Linked DNA regions of Tamandua tetradactyla. The protein of the gene in region 1 purifies or fractionates together with the protein of each later gene. This does not show direct contact. Links are inferred from orthologs where the notes say so. Each region holds a gene or a part of one and is shown on either strand. Other genes may lie near its edges.

What was found. The genes of interacting proteins can lie anywhere in the genome.
Region 2: the proteins of STK3 (region 1) and VAPA purify together in Homo sapiens (affinity purification with mass spectrometry; 4 studies listed by BioGRID and IntAct, counting the BioPlex papers as one, with this or other methods). This does not show direct contact. The link is inferred for Tamandua tetradactyla from reciprocal best matches to the Homo sapiens genes STK3 and VAPA.

Annotation. Positions count from the first base shown.
Region 1 is NC_135332.1:142,776,624-142,784,222, reverse strand, and holds the start of STK3 (serine/threonine-protein kinase 3), read left to right. Parts: upstream 1-4,579; 5' UTR 4,580-4,787; coding exon 4,788-4,813; intron 4,814-7,599. UniProt on the Homo sapiens protein: Stress-activated, pro-apoptotic kinase which, following caspase-cleavage, enters the nucleus and induces chromatin condensation followed by internucleosomal DNA fragmentation.
Region 2 is NC_135344.1:73,603,064-73,610,550, forward strand, and holds the start of VAPA (vesicle-associated membrane protein-associated protein A), read left to right. Parts: upstream 1-4,476; 5' UTR 4,477-4,704; coding exon 4,705-4,783; intron 4,784-7,487. UniProt on the Homo sapiens protein: Endoplasmic reticulum (ER)-anchored protein that mediates the formation of contact sites between the ER and endosomes via interaction with FFAT motif-containing proteins such as STARD3 or WDR44.

The DNA of each region.
Region 1 (7,599 bases):
ACTCCCACCTCCAGGCCATATTGTTCCCTTGGCCTCAAATTCTCTTCCTCTGGATGTCTGCATAGCTCACTCTTTTACGTTCTGGCTTCACTCCCTCACTTCCTCAGTCGCCCTCTCATTGGCCTTCTCTGGCCCACCCTATCTGCACTTAGACTTTCTCTGCCACTTGAAAACAAGGATCACCTTTCTTCCAGTTGACAATGACACATTCATCATTTCTGTCCAAGGCCTCATCTGAAGTACCTTTAGCGTCGGTATTTCTATCAACAGTTTCTTCAAAGCAGTCTAGGCCTTTTCTATTAAACTTATCACAATTCTTCCAGAATTTTCCCCTTATCCATTTATAAAACCGTTCCAGCATATTTTGGTATTTGCAAATTGCAGCATCCCACTCTTCTGGTACCAAAATCTATTTCAGTTTGCTAAAGCTGCTGGAATGCAATATGCCAGAAATGGGTTGACTTTTTCATTGGGGAGTTATTAGGTTACAAATTTACAGTTCCAAGGCCATAAAAAATGTCCAAAATTAAGGTATCAAGAGGAAGATGCCTTCTCTGAGGAAAGGCTGCTGGCATCTAGGGTGCCTCTGTCACATGGGAAAGCACATGGTGATGTCTGCTAGTCCTTCTTTCTTGGGTTCTGGTTTCAATGCTTCTCTCCAAATGTCTCTGGGCATTTCTCTCTTTGTTCTCTCATAAAGGGCTCTGGTATGGGATTAAGAGCTACCATGAATGGGGTGGATCAGTTCTCAATTGAACCAAAAGTTCCCACCCACAACAGGTCTGCCCCCACAGGGATGGATTAGAAGAACACAGCTTTCCCAGGCAGGGGTGTAAATTTCCCTGGCAATGTGGGACAGAAATCCTGGGATGAGCTGGGACCCAGCATCAAGCATTAAGAAAGCCTTCTTGACCTAAAAGGGGAAGAGAGAAATGAGACAAAATAAAGTTTCAGTGGCTGAGAGACTTCAAACAGAATGGAGAGGTTATCCTTGAGGTTATTCTTACATATTACATAGATATCCCTTTGTTCTAGTTTGCTAGCTGCTGGAATGCAATATACCAGAAACAGAATGGCTTAAAAAAAGGGGGAATTTAATAAGTTGCTAGTTTGCAACTGATAATATGTCCCAATTAAAACAAGTCTATAGAAATGTCCTAGCTAAGGCATCCAGGGAAAGATACCTTGATTCAAGAAGGCCGATGAAGTTCAGGGGTTCTCTCTCAAGTGGAAGACACATGGTGAACACAATTGGGGTTTCTCTCTTGGCTGGAAGGGCACAAGGTGAACACAGTCAGGGTTTCTCTCTCATCTGGAAAGGCACATGGCTAACACAGCGTCATCTGCTAGTTTTCTCTCCTGGCTTCCTTTTCATGAAGCTCCCTGGGAGGCATTTTCTTTCTTTATCTCCAAAGGTTGCTGGCTGGTAGACTCTAAGCATTCTCTGCTCTCTCTGAATCTCCCCCATTCTCCAAAATGTTTCCTCTTTATAGGATTCCAGTAAACTAATCAAGACCCACCCAAATGGATGGAGCCATGTCTCCACCTAATCCAACTTACCACTCTTGATTGAGACACATCTATAGGGAGATGATCTAATTACAGTTTAAAACATAAAGTACTGAATAAGGATTGGAAGAAATGGCTGCCTTTACAAAATGGGATTAGGATTAAAACATGGCTTTTCTAGGGTACATACATCCTTTCAAACCAGCACATACTTTTTAGTTTATGGTGTATTGGAATGGCCGAAGGGAGGTACCTGAAACTGTTGAGCTGTGTTCCAGTTGCCTTATTTCTTGAAGATGATTGTATAACGATATAGCTTTTACCATGTGACTGTGTGATCCTGAAAACCACGTGTCTGATGCTCCTTTTATCTAGGATATGGACAGATGAGTGAAAAAATATGGGTAAAAAAATTAACCATGAAGATAAAGTTTAAAATAAATTGGGTAGATGGAAAAACCAGTGGTCAATGAGAGGGAGGGGTATGGGGTATGGTGTATTTGAGTTTTTTTCTTTTCCTTTCTTTTTCTGAAGTGATGCAAATATTCTAAAAAATGATCATGGTGATGAATACACAACAATGTGATGTTGTGAGCCATTGTTGTAACATCATATATGGAATGTTTGCATGTTAAGATTTATCAATAAAAATATTTAAAAAAAAAGAAGAACATGGCCTTTTCTGGGGTCTATAACAGCTCTAAACCAACACAATTACCAATTAGGTTCTTATGTTATTGTATGTTTCCCCAACGTGGGTGTCATGGTCATGTTCGTGTGTCAACTTAGACAAGTGGTGGCTGGGCAAGTGCTGACTTGTCTGTTGTGATGAGGACATTTCATAGAATTAAATAAAGAGTTGAATGAGATTATGTAGGCCAAATGTCCTCCTGTTGGATTCATACAACATTTGTTAGTACTCTCCCTTTTCAAACAGAGGGGAGACACCGAGGATTTATTTTCTAATATTAATTCTCCTTCTTTCCATAAACCTTCTTTTTCGGTGTCAGTCAGGGTTCCAACAGAAAACCCTTTTGAAAGTATACTCAAATTAGAGTCATCTGAGGAAGGGTTTAATGACAAAGGATCATTTGAGGAGGCTGAGGTGTAGAGGAACATAGGGAATAGAGGAGAAACCTAGTAAAAAGTAGAACAATCACATGGCCCCTAGGTCTAAAGGGAGAAGGGGAATGAAGGAGATTTGGGTAAAGTGTTTTGCCTTGAGAAGATCATTGAGGACTTCCTGGAACACATCTAGTCCCAGGAGACCTCATAAATAGTCTGACTTCACACTCCTTTTCCCCCTTGCAGAAGACTTCCTGTTGGGTTTCCCTATCTTTAGACTTATTTAAAAGAGAGAGGGCTAAGGAGCCCTTTGATGTGAGCCCACGGGTCAGCCCCCAGGGCAGACAGCAAGGTGCAGAAGAGTGGAGAACTTCAATACAATGTGATAAGCACCACACAAAGCCCAGCACAGAGTACTATGGATTCTTAAAAGTGAGGTTTCTCTTTCATAACTTGAATTTGTGTGGGAGGCATGGAGTGGTGGTACTGGGCTGGAGTTTGGGAGGGGCTTCCTGGGGCTTAAGGCAATTCAGAACTCATTTTAACTCTTTGGTTTATCTTGCTATTGTGAGTCTTCAATATATTCAAATGAGTATACAAATTTGCAAGAATCTCATTTACAAAATTCGACTTTAGATCTCAACAATGAGTGGCCTTAAATTTAAAATAACTAAATTTGGGAGGGTGGGTGGATATGATGGTTTAAAAAGAAATTGTGAAAGCTTGTTACATAATAAAACTTAAAAATGCAAAATGAGGAATAAGTGTTGTGGTAGACTGAATTATATACTCCAAAAAAAGAGATATATTCTTATCTTAATCTGCATTCCTGTGGGTATCAACCCATTATAAGTATGAACTTCTGAAGATACTATTTTTAGTGAAGGTATGGCCTCACTGAATCCCGTCAGCCTTTGTCTATATTACTGGAGGCCTTATAAGAGTCAAGAGCCAATACTGGATTTAGGAGAAACTGGAAGAGCAGGTGAGAGAGTGAGAATGAGAGAGAAAGAGAGAGAAATTCCCAAGAATTGCTGCAATCCAGCGTGAGAACACTGAGAAAGCATGGCTTGATTTTGGACATCTGGTCTTCAAAACCATGAACCAATGAATTCCTGTTGGTAAGCCAATCCATCGACAATTTAGGCTAATGTTCATAAAGACTCTTTATTCAACATTCTCTTCTATATATTGTTCCACCCTTGAGAAAACCGTATAGGACTTTATACCTTGACAATTTATAATAAAAACAAGAAAACTCCTTACATAGCAGTTGTAGTTGGTCATAAGAAAGACAGCCACATGTGGAATTTAAGGTTAAACATGAAGGGATACTATCAGAGTAGGGTGAGTGTGGTTGGAACAGGTAGGGAGGAGGGCGAGAAGAGGGAAGGAAACAAATTTTTCTTGAGTGCTTTTCTATGCACCATAGGTTCTGCTATTTCTTGCTAGGTTACCTAATAGAATACTGCGTTTGTGCCTGAGAATCTCACTGCAGTAATTATTTTCTCTGTAATTAGATGTAATTATTGTGAAATGTAATGAGGAGCCTGTCCACAATCAAAAAAAACAAGAATTTCCAGGAGGATCACCACTACTGTAGCTACAAATGTCAAATCGCTGGGGGAAAACAGAAGCAGTAATTATAACCAGAACTAAGGAAGAAATCCTGGGCAGTTAGTAGTACTTCAAACGGCTTCACAAGATGCTTGGGATGCATCGTGTGGGAAATCCAGAGAAATGTTTCAAATCGCATTGGGACAAACGCAGGGAAGAGAAATGAGGAGCAGCAGTCCTGAACCGGCTGTAAAGGGACCTATCCCTCACCAGCACAGAAGAGTCCTTAGATAGCCTCAACTTCTGGATCTTCCAATCCACCCCTCCCCTTTTCCCTTCTCTGCGCCGCGGCCCGCCCCTTCCCGGGTCTCCGAGTCCACTCACTCTCCCCGCCCCGCGGTCGGCCCCGCCCACTCCCCCTGGCCCGGCTCCGCCCACCACCCTGCGCTGCGGCCTGAGGCCGAGGGGCGGGGCAGGCCGGGAAGAGCCACACTCCCCAGCGGCCGTAGGATCCGCCGCGGAGTTACGAGAAAGTTGGTCCGAGTTCCTGGAGTTTCCTTCCTTGGCTCCCCGGGCCCGGCCGGCGGGTGTTCCAGCTTCTTTCCTCCCTCCAGCCTTCCCCGCCCGCCAGCTCCCTCTCTCTGCCCCAGGCCGCCATGGAGCAGCCACCGGCGCCCAAGAGGTAATCAATAAGGGGAGCGGGGAGAAGGAGGGACGCGCCGCTGGCAGCCCCGGGGCGGGTTCGGTTAGGCCAGGCCAGATCGCGACCCCCCACCCCGGCTTCCGGGCTCTGGGCCGGCGCGCCGTGGGTCAGGAGGGAGGTCCGGCTGCAGGCGCCGCCTGTCCTCGGGGCGAGGGGACCCGAGCGGAGGCCGTGACTGGCTCCCCCCGCATGCGTCCGGCGGGGCCTGGCGCGCGTGGAAAGGAGAGTGGGCAGCGCCCGGCTCCCCGCGGCCGGACCTCCTGCGGCTCCGGGGCAGGTCGAGTTTTCCCCTCGCGGCAAGTTTACGAAGACTGGGAGACATAAAACAGGGACATTACTAGTGTTCTGCCAGTCTTGTAGGCGTTCTTGTCAAATGTTCTTCGTAATTTTTTTTGTTTGTTTAAAGAAGTTGGGTTGTTTATTTACTGTTTAAGGAATTAAATATTAATAGGCACACAATCTCTGAAACTTGCGGATTTGCCGCACTGACAGGTGTTTCTCCACTTAGTTCAAAAGTATTTATGGATGCTAGACAGTAGGGATCTTAAATTAGAACCCCTTCCCCTATAGTTTTTTGTTTTTCTTTTAGCATGTAAAAATAGTGATGCTTTGGTATTTACTGTTAGTTTATGTTTAATCTATGATATTATATTGGAAATGTAAGAATGCAGAGTAAATACGTTTGAATTAATATTTGAAATGATCTAAATAAAGATTGTTTATTGATACAATTGCATAATATGGATTTTTCCTTCAAGAATGTATCTGTAGCTTGATATTGGAAAAAAACATTAACTTCAGGCTTTCTTTTTTTTTTTTTGAACTATTTTTATTGTATAGTATAACATATATACAAAGCAAAGAAATAAAAAAGCAATAGTTTTCAAAGTACTCTTCAACAAATTGTTACAGGACAGATCCCAGAGTTTGTTATGGGCTACCATACGATCCTCTCATATTTTTCCTTCTAGCTGCTCCAGAATATGGACGGCTAGAGGGCTTAAACACTTTTTATCATCACAATCGACTTTTTTTTTATTTCTTTTTTTTGTGAACAATAACATATATACAAAAAACCTATAAATTTCCAAGCACGGCACCACAGTTAGCTGTAGAACATATTTCACACTTTGACATAGATTACGATTTCACGTTTTTACTTCTAGCTACTCTAAAATACTGGAGACTAAAAGAAATGTCAATTTAATGATTCAGCATTCATATTCATTTTTAAGTCCTATCTTCTATGTGTAATTCTGCTGTCACCTTTGATCTTTCCATACCTCTCTTGGGGTTGTTTGGGCTATAGTAATTCTAAATTTTTCATATTGGAAGGGTCTGTCACTAATATGGGTAGGAAGATGGAACTATCTGATGTTCTGGAAAGGTTGGGCTAGGTTTCAGGACTTATGTGGACCAGGGACCCATCTGGAAGTTGTAGGTTTCTGGAAAGTTACTCTAGTGCATGGAACCCTTGTGGAATCTTATATATTACCCTAGGTGTTCTTTAGGATTGACTGGAATGGTCCTGGTTGGGGGTGGGCAGATTATGATCCATAGCAAGGTCTACTTGAAGCTTGCATAAGAGCAACCTCCAGAATAGCCTCTTGACCCTATTTGAACTTGTTCTGCCACTGATCTTTTATGAGTTATACTTCTTTTCCCCCTTTTTGGTCAGGATGGAATTGTTGATCCCACGGTGCCAGGTCTGGATTCATCTCTGGGAGTCATCTCCCACATTGCCAGGGAGACTTTCATCCCTGGATGTCATGTCCCACGTAGGAGGGAGGGCAGTGATTTCACTTGCAGAGTTGGGCTTAGAGAGACTGAGCCACATCTGAGCAACAACAGAGGTCCTCCAGAAGTAACTCTTAGGCATGCCTATAGGTAGGCTAAGCTTCTCCACTACCTACATAAGCTTCACAAGAGTAAACCTCATGATCAAGAGCATAGCCTGTGGATTTGGATATCTCTAAAGTTTGACACAGTATCAGGGGTTTCAAACCTTACCTAATGGTAAGGTTTAATAGTTTCATGTTCTTTTTCCCCTCCCTCAGGAGACTTTGCCAGTACTTTTTGATTATCTGCTTAATATACTCTACGATGTATCCAGGCATTACAATAATCTATACAAGATTAAAGGACCTCTTTCTTATTCTGTGCTTCCTGTGTTTCAGTTATTCAAATGAGCTATACAGATAGGTTGAATTAGATTATACACGACTGAAAATTTCAATTCCAGATCAAATAAACCTTTCTTCTATTGGTCTCAAAGAGTATGTGTGGTTCTAAAATGTAGACGCTTTTTCTTACTCCTATATTCTGAATTACTTTAACCCCAACCTGTTCGGCTTTGTTTTTACTCTAAATATCAGGTTATATATATATATATATATATATTTATATATAAAACAGCCTCTCAAAATCCAGAAATGTTAATCACCACTCCGGACTTAATGTATCTACTCAAAAGCTTACAATCTAGGCCCCTGTTTTCTTATAAGCATTTTCTAAAGGTGTCCATGCCATTTTTTTTTTTTTTTTGTTTGTTTGTTTCTGGCTTATTTTGTCTCACCAAATGTCCCATATGTTCATTCACATTGTTGCATGCCTCATGACTTTGTTCCTTTTTGTAGCAGCACAGTCTTGTTCATAAGTATGCACCATCGTTTGCTGTTTTACTTCTCCGTTAGTGCATCCTTCAGCCACCTGCCTTCATCAGGCATCACTTCAAGGGCCCAAAGTCCACAGTCCATCAACATTCT
Region 2 (7,487 bases), on another chromosome or scaffold:
AAAGCTTGTCCTCTCCGGAAATGGCACCTCATCTATCCACCCACACAAGCTGGAAGTAGGGGAAACATCCTCTAGATCTCATTTTCTCTCACCACCCTCCAAATCCATCCATATCTGAACCCTATTGATTTTACTCCCTAAATAGCTCTGAAATCCATCCAGTTTTCCCCATTTCCAGGGCATCTACTGTGGCTCAAACTCCTACCCTCTACAATGCCATCCTGCCATGTGAACTACAGCAATAGTCCCAATTGCTCTTCCCATAGTTCCTCTTACTCCTTCTAATCCAACCTCCATGCTGTAGCTCAGAGGTATGTTAAAGACCATTTCACTCCATAGTTGAAATGTTTGGTTGGTTTCCCATTTTCTTAGGATAAAGACCCAAATCCTTAATATGGCCTAAAATAAGCCACATAACTTGGCTTTTCTGGCTTCGTCTGCTGCTCACTGCCAGATTTATTCACTGTAGCACACTGGCCTTTTTTTCAATGACTTAGAATGTACCGTGCTTATACTGTGCCCTTTGCCTTGCATACTAAGTAATCGTTCAGAACACAGCCTTGTCATTTCCTTAGGTAGCTCTTCCCAACCCCAGACCTATTTGCACAACATCAGACTTCTGAGCCCTAGTGCTTACCACAATTTAGATAAAATAATTGCAATATTAGTTATTTCATATTTGTCTCTCCTGCTTGAGTGTCAGCCTTTAAGGACAAGGTCGTGTCTATGGGTTCATTGGTACATCATTAGCATCTTGGTGCAAGGCACATGATGAAGCTGGATAAAATAGGACAACTGTAAGTCCCTGGTCTCCTATTCAACTCTGAAAGAGTTAACAGACAACTGCAAGTTTCTTGTTTCTTACCTAACTCCAAAAGAACTTATACAGAGCTGCAAACTTCAGCTGCAGACTTCCTGCAACAAAAATTTCCCAAACGCCCCCAAACCTCCCAAAACTACTGAAACCTCCTCAAACCATAAAAACTTGTAAAATTCTGGGCCCAAAGCAAACTCTTAGTTAATAATAGCAAGCACAATGTCATAAAGATTGTTAACCATTTGCCCAAAGACAAATTTCAGGTATGTGACAACAAACCACTAATTCTGCTAGCTGTCTCCTCCTAGAACAAAGAAGACACGTACTATTCAAAGGTCACTGTGGAAACCTGCCACTGGTAAAACTTTCCTATAAAACAAGCTGGGGGCAGGCAATAGTGGCTGAGTGGCAGAGTTCTTGCCTGCCATGCCAGAGACCCGGGTTTGATTCCTGATGACTGCCCAGGCAAAAAAACACCCAACCAACCAAACAAAAAACAAGCTGGCCTACTCCATTCAGGGCATGTCCCTTCTGTGGGCACACCTGCATTAACCTCTCTAATGTGTACTCTCTCTTTCTAATAAATGTCTCTTTCAATAAACTTTACTTATGCCTACTGGCCCTCTCATCTCTGAATTCTTTTAGTTTAAAGACTATGGAACTTGGATCGGGGTTCAGCTGGCACCTCTGCCAGCAGGACATGGGTTACAATACCAGTAAATTAGTGTTCCACATTGATAAAGTACCAGTGCCCAAACCAGGCACTGCATTCAGCTTTCTTGTGCCTTAACTCATTTATCCTCTTAATGAAGCTGTACAGCGGTTCAGCTGTTATTATCCCTATTTTACAGATGTAGAACATGCACAGAGAGGTGAAGTAAGCTGCCAAGGTCACAAAGTGGAAAAGGGGATTTGGATCTAACAGTTCAGCTCCAAAGCCTGTGTGCTTGCGTGACACAGTATTTATTGAAAGCAAGTCCTTTTTAGCATTTATGGAATTGACCTACTCAGGGAATTGATCATAAACAAATTAAATATTCTAGAGCACCTCTTTAGTAAAGTGTAATATGTTTAACTATGGAGATGGTTATACTTTTTACCATGTTTTGGAAACTGTTTTTGTGGATCTTTGCCAAGCTCCTAAGAGATAATCTGTCCAAAGGTGAACACTCCTGGTGATAGAAATAGACCAAAGTAATAATCGAGGCCTTCGTACCTCTGAGACACATTAAAAAGTGGTCTTTAAAGATATGGGCTTGGAAGTATATATACGTTTTGCTAACAGAACAAACCTGAACTTCTAAGTGAACAGAACAAACCTGAGGCCAAACTTGTCATTGTTCCTAGTTTAAATGTTAACAGATAAGTCAATTGCATTTTAAACTGCTGTCTTAATTGCTTAGCATTGTCACTTTTTTTGTGGCTTTGGGAAGAGCAAAAATGCACAGGATGGAAAATAGGGTTTTGTTTTACCCCTTAAGTTTGACTCTAGTACTGGCTTGAGAGGCCCTCACCTGTGTTTTCATATCCATATTTAATAACCAAATTAACCCTTTCCAACTGCTGCAAGGTTGTCCTGAGTAGCCTGTAATGATGTTTGTATAGTTCTTTGAACTGCTAGAAGAAGGTGTTAATAAATCCCAAAGAATAAACCACTTAAACAGAGCACCATTTGATGAGGGGTAGACAATTCTCTGGGGGCTCTGAGTCATTATGAATGCAATGCCTTAAAACAGTCATGGGGGAATTATTCCCAAGGCATTTCATGTATTGTTAGAATATCAGATTTGTATAGATTTTAAGACTATGCCTATAGGATTTGGAAGCAATATGGATGGAAAGAGGAAAACTGTGGACACACTTGGAGGATGCTTTGATGGACAGAGGTTTCCTAATGATACAGACTGGGAAATTGGGGTACAGTCAGTTACACTTGGTGGGTGGGAAATCAGTGTCCCATAGGGGAGTGACTGGGAACTTCCTCAGCATGCTTTATCTGCTAATTGGGTGCGTGCACACTGGGAATTTCCAAAGGCTTTCTGGAAAGAGAGATTCCATCCAGCTGTGGAGGGGTTAGGGGCCAGTTCAGCCAAGGCTTCTGTTCCCTCCGCTAACTTGCCAACCCAGGAGAGGTTCTAAGGCAAGCAAGGAACTGTAGTTAGTGAAACCTTTTGGGAACATCAGTTTACAACTAAACAAATGTGGGACACCATCCAGTGGAGTGACTGCCAACCTCAAGCCCCCGCCTCCTTTTTTTAAACATTAAGCTCCTTTTTGATAAACATACACTTCTGGTAACCCTCCTTTAATAATTAAATTTTCAAAAATACCTTTTGTGAATACAAAGAAATCAAGGGAAAGGTAATGTTAGAATATGCTTTTCGAACTACATAAGCATTCCAATCCCCCCACGGTCTTCTTTCTGGTTGTGGGGCAGGCTCCAGCGAACGCTAGGTCAGCTATTCCTCCGCATTGCACACGAAGCCTTGGTCAGCCTGGGTCTAGACGACTGTTCCATTCGTCTCATTTATTTTCCACACAAACCTAGCTTGTCCTTTATCGCAGTAGCCTCAACGTGTCCTTTGTTTTGCGGCGCTTCCTAGGAATTTAAATTCAGGATGCACTGCAAAGGTTTATTTACAGCACATTGTTCATTTGTTTCACTTGATGGTCCTGTCCCGGGCCACCACGCGGGCAACCGGTTGAAGATGTGTCAGCAACTTTGCTGCTGGCATTTTCCTCCTTATTCAGTTTACTACAGGCGGCCGTGGGTGCTGCAGGCGAATTCGTTCCTAGCGAACGTGACGCCGGTTTTTGCTTTGGAGCTATCATTCATCGCAGCCAAGGAGCAGCAGCGCTGTACATTCGGACTTTTGTCATTTGACGTGTGTACCCGGTCAGTGTCCCCAATGAGGTGGCGAGGGCGTTTCCCCCGCGTGATTTCGCCCTTTCTGGAGAGAATCCAGAGAGCCGGAGACGCTGGCTGGGAACAGGACCGAGACTCAAGTTCTCCCGTGCAGGGATGGATGGGTTTAGACAGTAAACTGATAAGCCCCGGCCTGTATTCCACAGGGTAGATTTCATATTATTCATCAGCCTCCAAAGCATTTGTTTTTCTTTTTTAGCGCGGTCGAGAGCTCCCAGGAGCCCCAAGCAGGGTCAGCGCGCTCCACCCATCCGCCTTCAACGGACGTCGCTTCTTCCCGCCCGCGGACCACGCACACTACACTTCCCAGCAGGCACCACGCGCTGCGCCTCCAGGGACCGGCCGCGCTTAGGCTCCGCCCCACGCAGGGCTTGCTGGGAACTGTAGTTCACCGGCGCCTTCCGTCTCCTTCCTTCCATCAGGCATTGCCACTTGGAAGACGGTGATGCGGGACCATCATAAGGCTTCTTGTTTCGTAATCGGAGCTAACGCGAGAGAATATTGCTCCTCTAGCACCACGGGGCGCCCCGTTTCCTCCCACAAACCTTAGCGCCGCCCCTGACCACGCCCGTTCCCTTGACAGCTGGCCCGGGGGCTCCGGCCACTGCCGAGGACTGCAGTGCGCAGACGCATCGAGATCGCGCCGTGCTGGGCGGGTCTGGGGGCGGGGTGAGCGCCGAGCGGCAGGCGGCGGGGGCGCGCACGTCTGCACGCAGCCCGTCACGTGGGGCGCCGGGATCGCAGTGCGCGCGGCCGCGGCGGCTGGTGTGGGGTTGAGTCAGTTGCGAGACCGGAGCTGCTGACCCGTCCGGCGGCCGGCCCAGCAGCGCCAGGGCGGCAGGCGGAGGCGAGCTGGGAGCCGGAGCCGGGCTCGGCCGTAGAGCGTCTCCAAGCCCGTGCCTTCCCTGCCCCCGCCGGCAAACCGCCGCCGCGGGCGCGCCCCCGCTCTGCGCTGTCTCCGATGGCGTCCGCCTCTGGGACCATGGCGAAGCACGAGCAGATCCTGGTCCTCGACCCGCCCACAGACCTCAAATTTAAAGGTGGGCAGCGCGCGGTGGAGCTGACGACTGTCTCCCCTCGGGGGCTTGGCGTGGGGTCCAGGGGGCGGCGGGCGCGCGGGGTGTTGGCCTGACGGGTGCGGCGTCCCCTCCCCCACGCGCGGCCCTCCGGCTCGGGCGCACTCGCCGCCCCGCCGCCTCCCTCTCCGCGGTCCTCCTCCCCGCCCTCGCTCCTCGGTGCGCGCGCCGGCCGGGGGCGGGAGGGCCGGCCTGCTCCCGCTGCCGCTCCCGGCCGGGTCTGGCTCCCGCGCCGCCGCCATCTTGAGGCCCGCCGGGCGCTCCGGAGTGGTCCTCCCGGCCCCGCCGCTTTGGGGTGTCCCTGGCGGTCTCATCTGCGTGCTCCTCCCGTTCCGACCGCTTTGGGTTGTCCCCCTCGGCCTGACCTGGAGGTGCTCCTCCCTGCCCGACCCGGGTGCTACCCCCGGTCGGCTTCGACGTGCTCCCTTTGGCCCCGGGTACTCCTCTGGGTTCGGGGTACTCCTCTGGGTTCGGGGTGCACCTCCCCCACCGCGGCCGGGTCGTCCCCGCCGCTGGCCCTTTGACCTCCGGGCCGTTCGGAGGCTGCGGGCGGGCAGCGACCTGAGAGCAGCGCGCTGCGGTCCACGGGGGAAAGGGCGTGTGAGGCGGCGCCAGTTGCACCCGTGGCTTTCTGTCCACCGGGCGGGAGGTTCGGCATCGAGGCCGCAGCTCGCGACCCAGCCCCGGAGGGACACGGTCCCTCTGCCTCCTGCCGCCGTCCGCATCCCGGGGGAACGCCGGGTACAGCCGGCCTTTTGCCCGGAGAGGGTGTTGCTGCTCGACTTGACTGAGTTAATAACTCTCCTGTTAGGCGTTGGGAGCCCCGAGTTCTTCTGGTTATCACCTACCTGGTTTCGTTGTAAATGACGTGCGGGGAGGAAGGCTGGGCGCCAACTTGAAGATCTGCGGTGGGAGCGTCCTGGTGGTGGGGCTTCCCGTCCGCGGTGGCATTTCAGTTTACCTTGCGTGCAGAGCCCTGTCTACTCCGGTTCAGTTTAGCCCTTGAGCTGAGCGTCTCTGCTGCGGAGTCTTCAGTTTGTGGCATTTGCCTTTGGATTTGCGGTTTCCCACTTCACCGTGAAAAGGCTGTGAACGTTTCGCTCGGCTTCGTAAACGTCATTAATTTCTTTTGCAGCAACACCCACGATAAACTTACTAGTCTAACTTAGTGGTGCTTGAGGAATCCGGGGGCTATTTCGTCCGTTTGCGTTTCAGTATGTAGACGGAGGGTAGTTTAGGGAAGGAAATTAAAAAATGAACATTTGTGGATTTTTTTTTAAAAGAACTGCTGAAAGATTGTGACGTTCTTGAGTAGACTCTTTTATCCTAAGTATAGAGTGAGCTCCCTTTTGGAAGTCGTTATCTTGTATTTCAGTTTCAGTAGCTTACAATTTTGTAAGGTGTATAGCAGTTCCAGCGTTAAGAGAAGTTATTGTTGTATAAGGTCGTATCCAAAAGGAAAAAATACATCATTTTTCCATAGAAAATTTTAAATTAAAAAATTTTTTTGGAATAGTTTTAGCAAGTTCTTTTCTCTTTCACTCTGGAATTATGAGAGTATTGCATAACTTTTTAACTTTGCAGTTCTCTTAGTACATTTGTAAATTTCTTTGAATGGTAATGTGAGTTGCTTGTTAGGTAAGGATTTGATTTTATAGACAACTCTAAGAAGTATTTTGAGGTGCAGTGAGTGCATGACTTTCCATAGTTTTAGCTGAAAAAAAAACTTTTGAGGAATCCAAAAATTATCTAACTCAAATATCGATTATCATAAGCTGAGGAATTTTAATGTAAACTATTATGTGTGTTCTTTCTGCAGTTTAAATATTTTGTTTTCGTCTTTTGACAGCCTGAATTTAAAGAGAACATTTCCTTTATCTGATAACCAGTGTGTTGGGTTAGAAGCATTTAAAAACCAGTTTAGGCCAGGAATTGTCCACAGTTTGAAGGTTTCTTCCTAGAGTGGTTGTAATGCTGTCATAGTAAAAGAAATAATAGTAGGTTAAAAAACAACCCCAAACCCTACATGATGACTACATTTGATTAATGATGTTCAGCAATGAGTAATTCATTCAGCAGGTATCAGCTTATATTGGGGGAGTCATTGCTAATCAAGGTAGAGAAAAGATTCCCATGGTTAGTTCATAGTTTAATGGGGAAGGCATACAATTAAAAAACAGTAAAATGTGTTAGGTTTTGTCTTTGCCCTTGAAGAACTTCCAAGACTAATCAGGGAGACAAAAAAGGCAGGAAGATGCTCTAACAGAGGCACAAACATATCTATAAGAAAAGAGGGCCCCGCTTCTTTTCTACTTCCTCCTCACATTAGAGTAGGAAGCCTTAAAGGAAGAGACTAGCTATGGTAGGTGGGTGGTAGGGAGTGGGGAGAATGGCCAAAGACAATGGTTGAGTAAACTCACTGATGTGAAAGAATGCTTGGCATATACTCCCCCCCGCCTTTTTCTTTTTATTAGAGAAGTTGTAGGTTTATAAAAATTATGCAGAAAATAAAGTTCTCATATACCCCTTTGTGTACACGGTTTTCGCAGTTATCAACACTTTGCATTATCATGGTACCTTGTTATAATTGATGAAGTATACTTATAGTATTTATAATATAACTATAGTCCATAGTTTACATTGGGGCTCACTGTGTTGTACAGTTTTC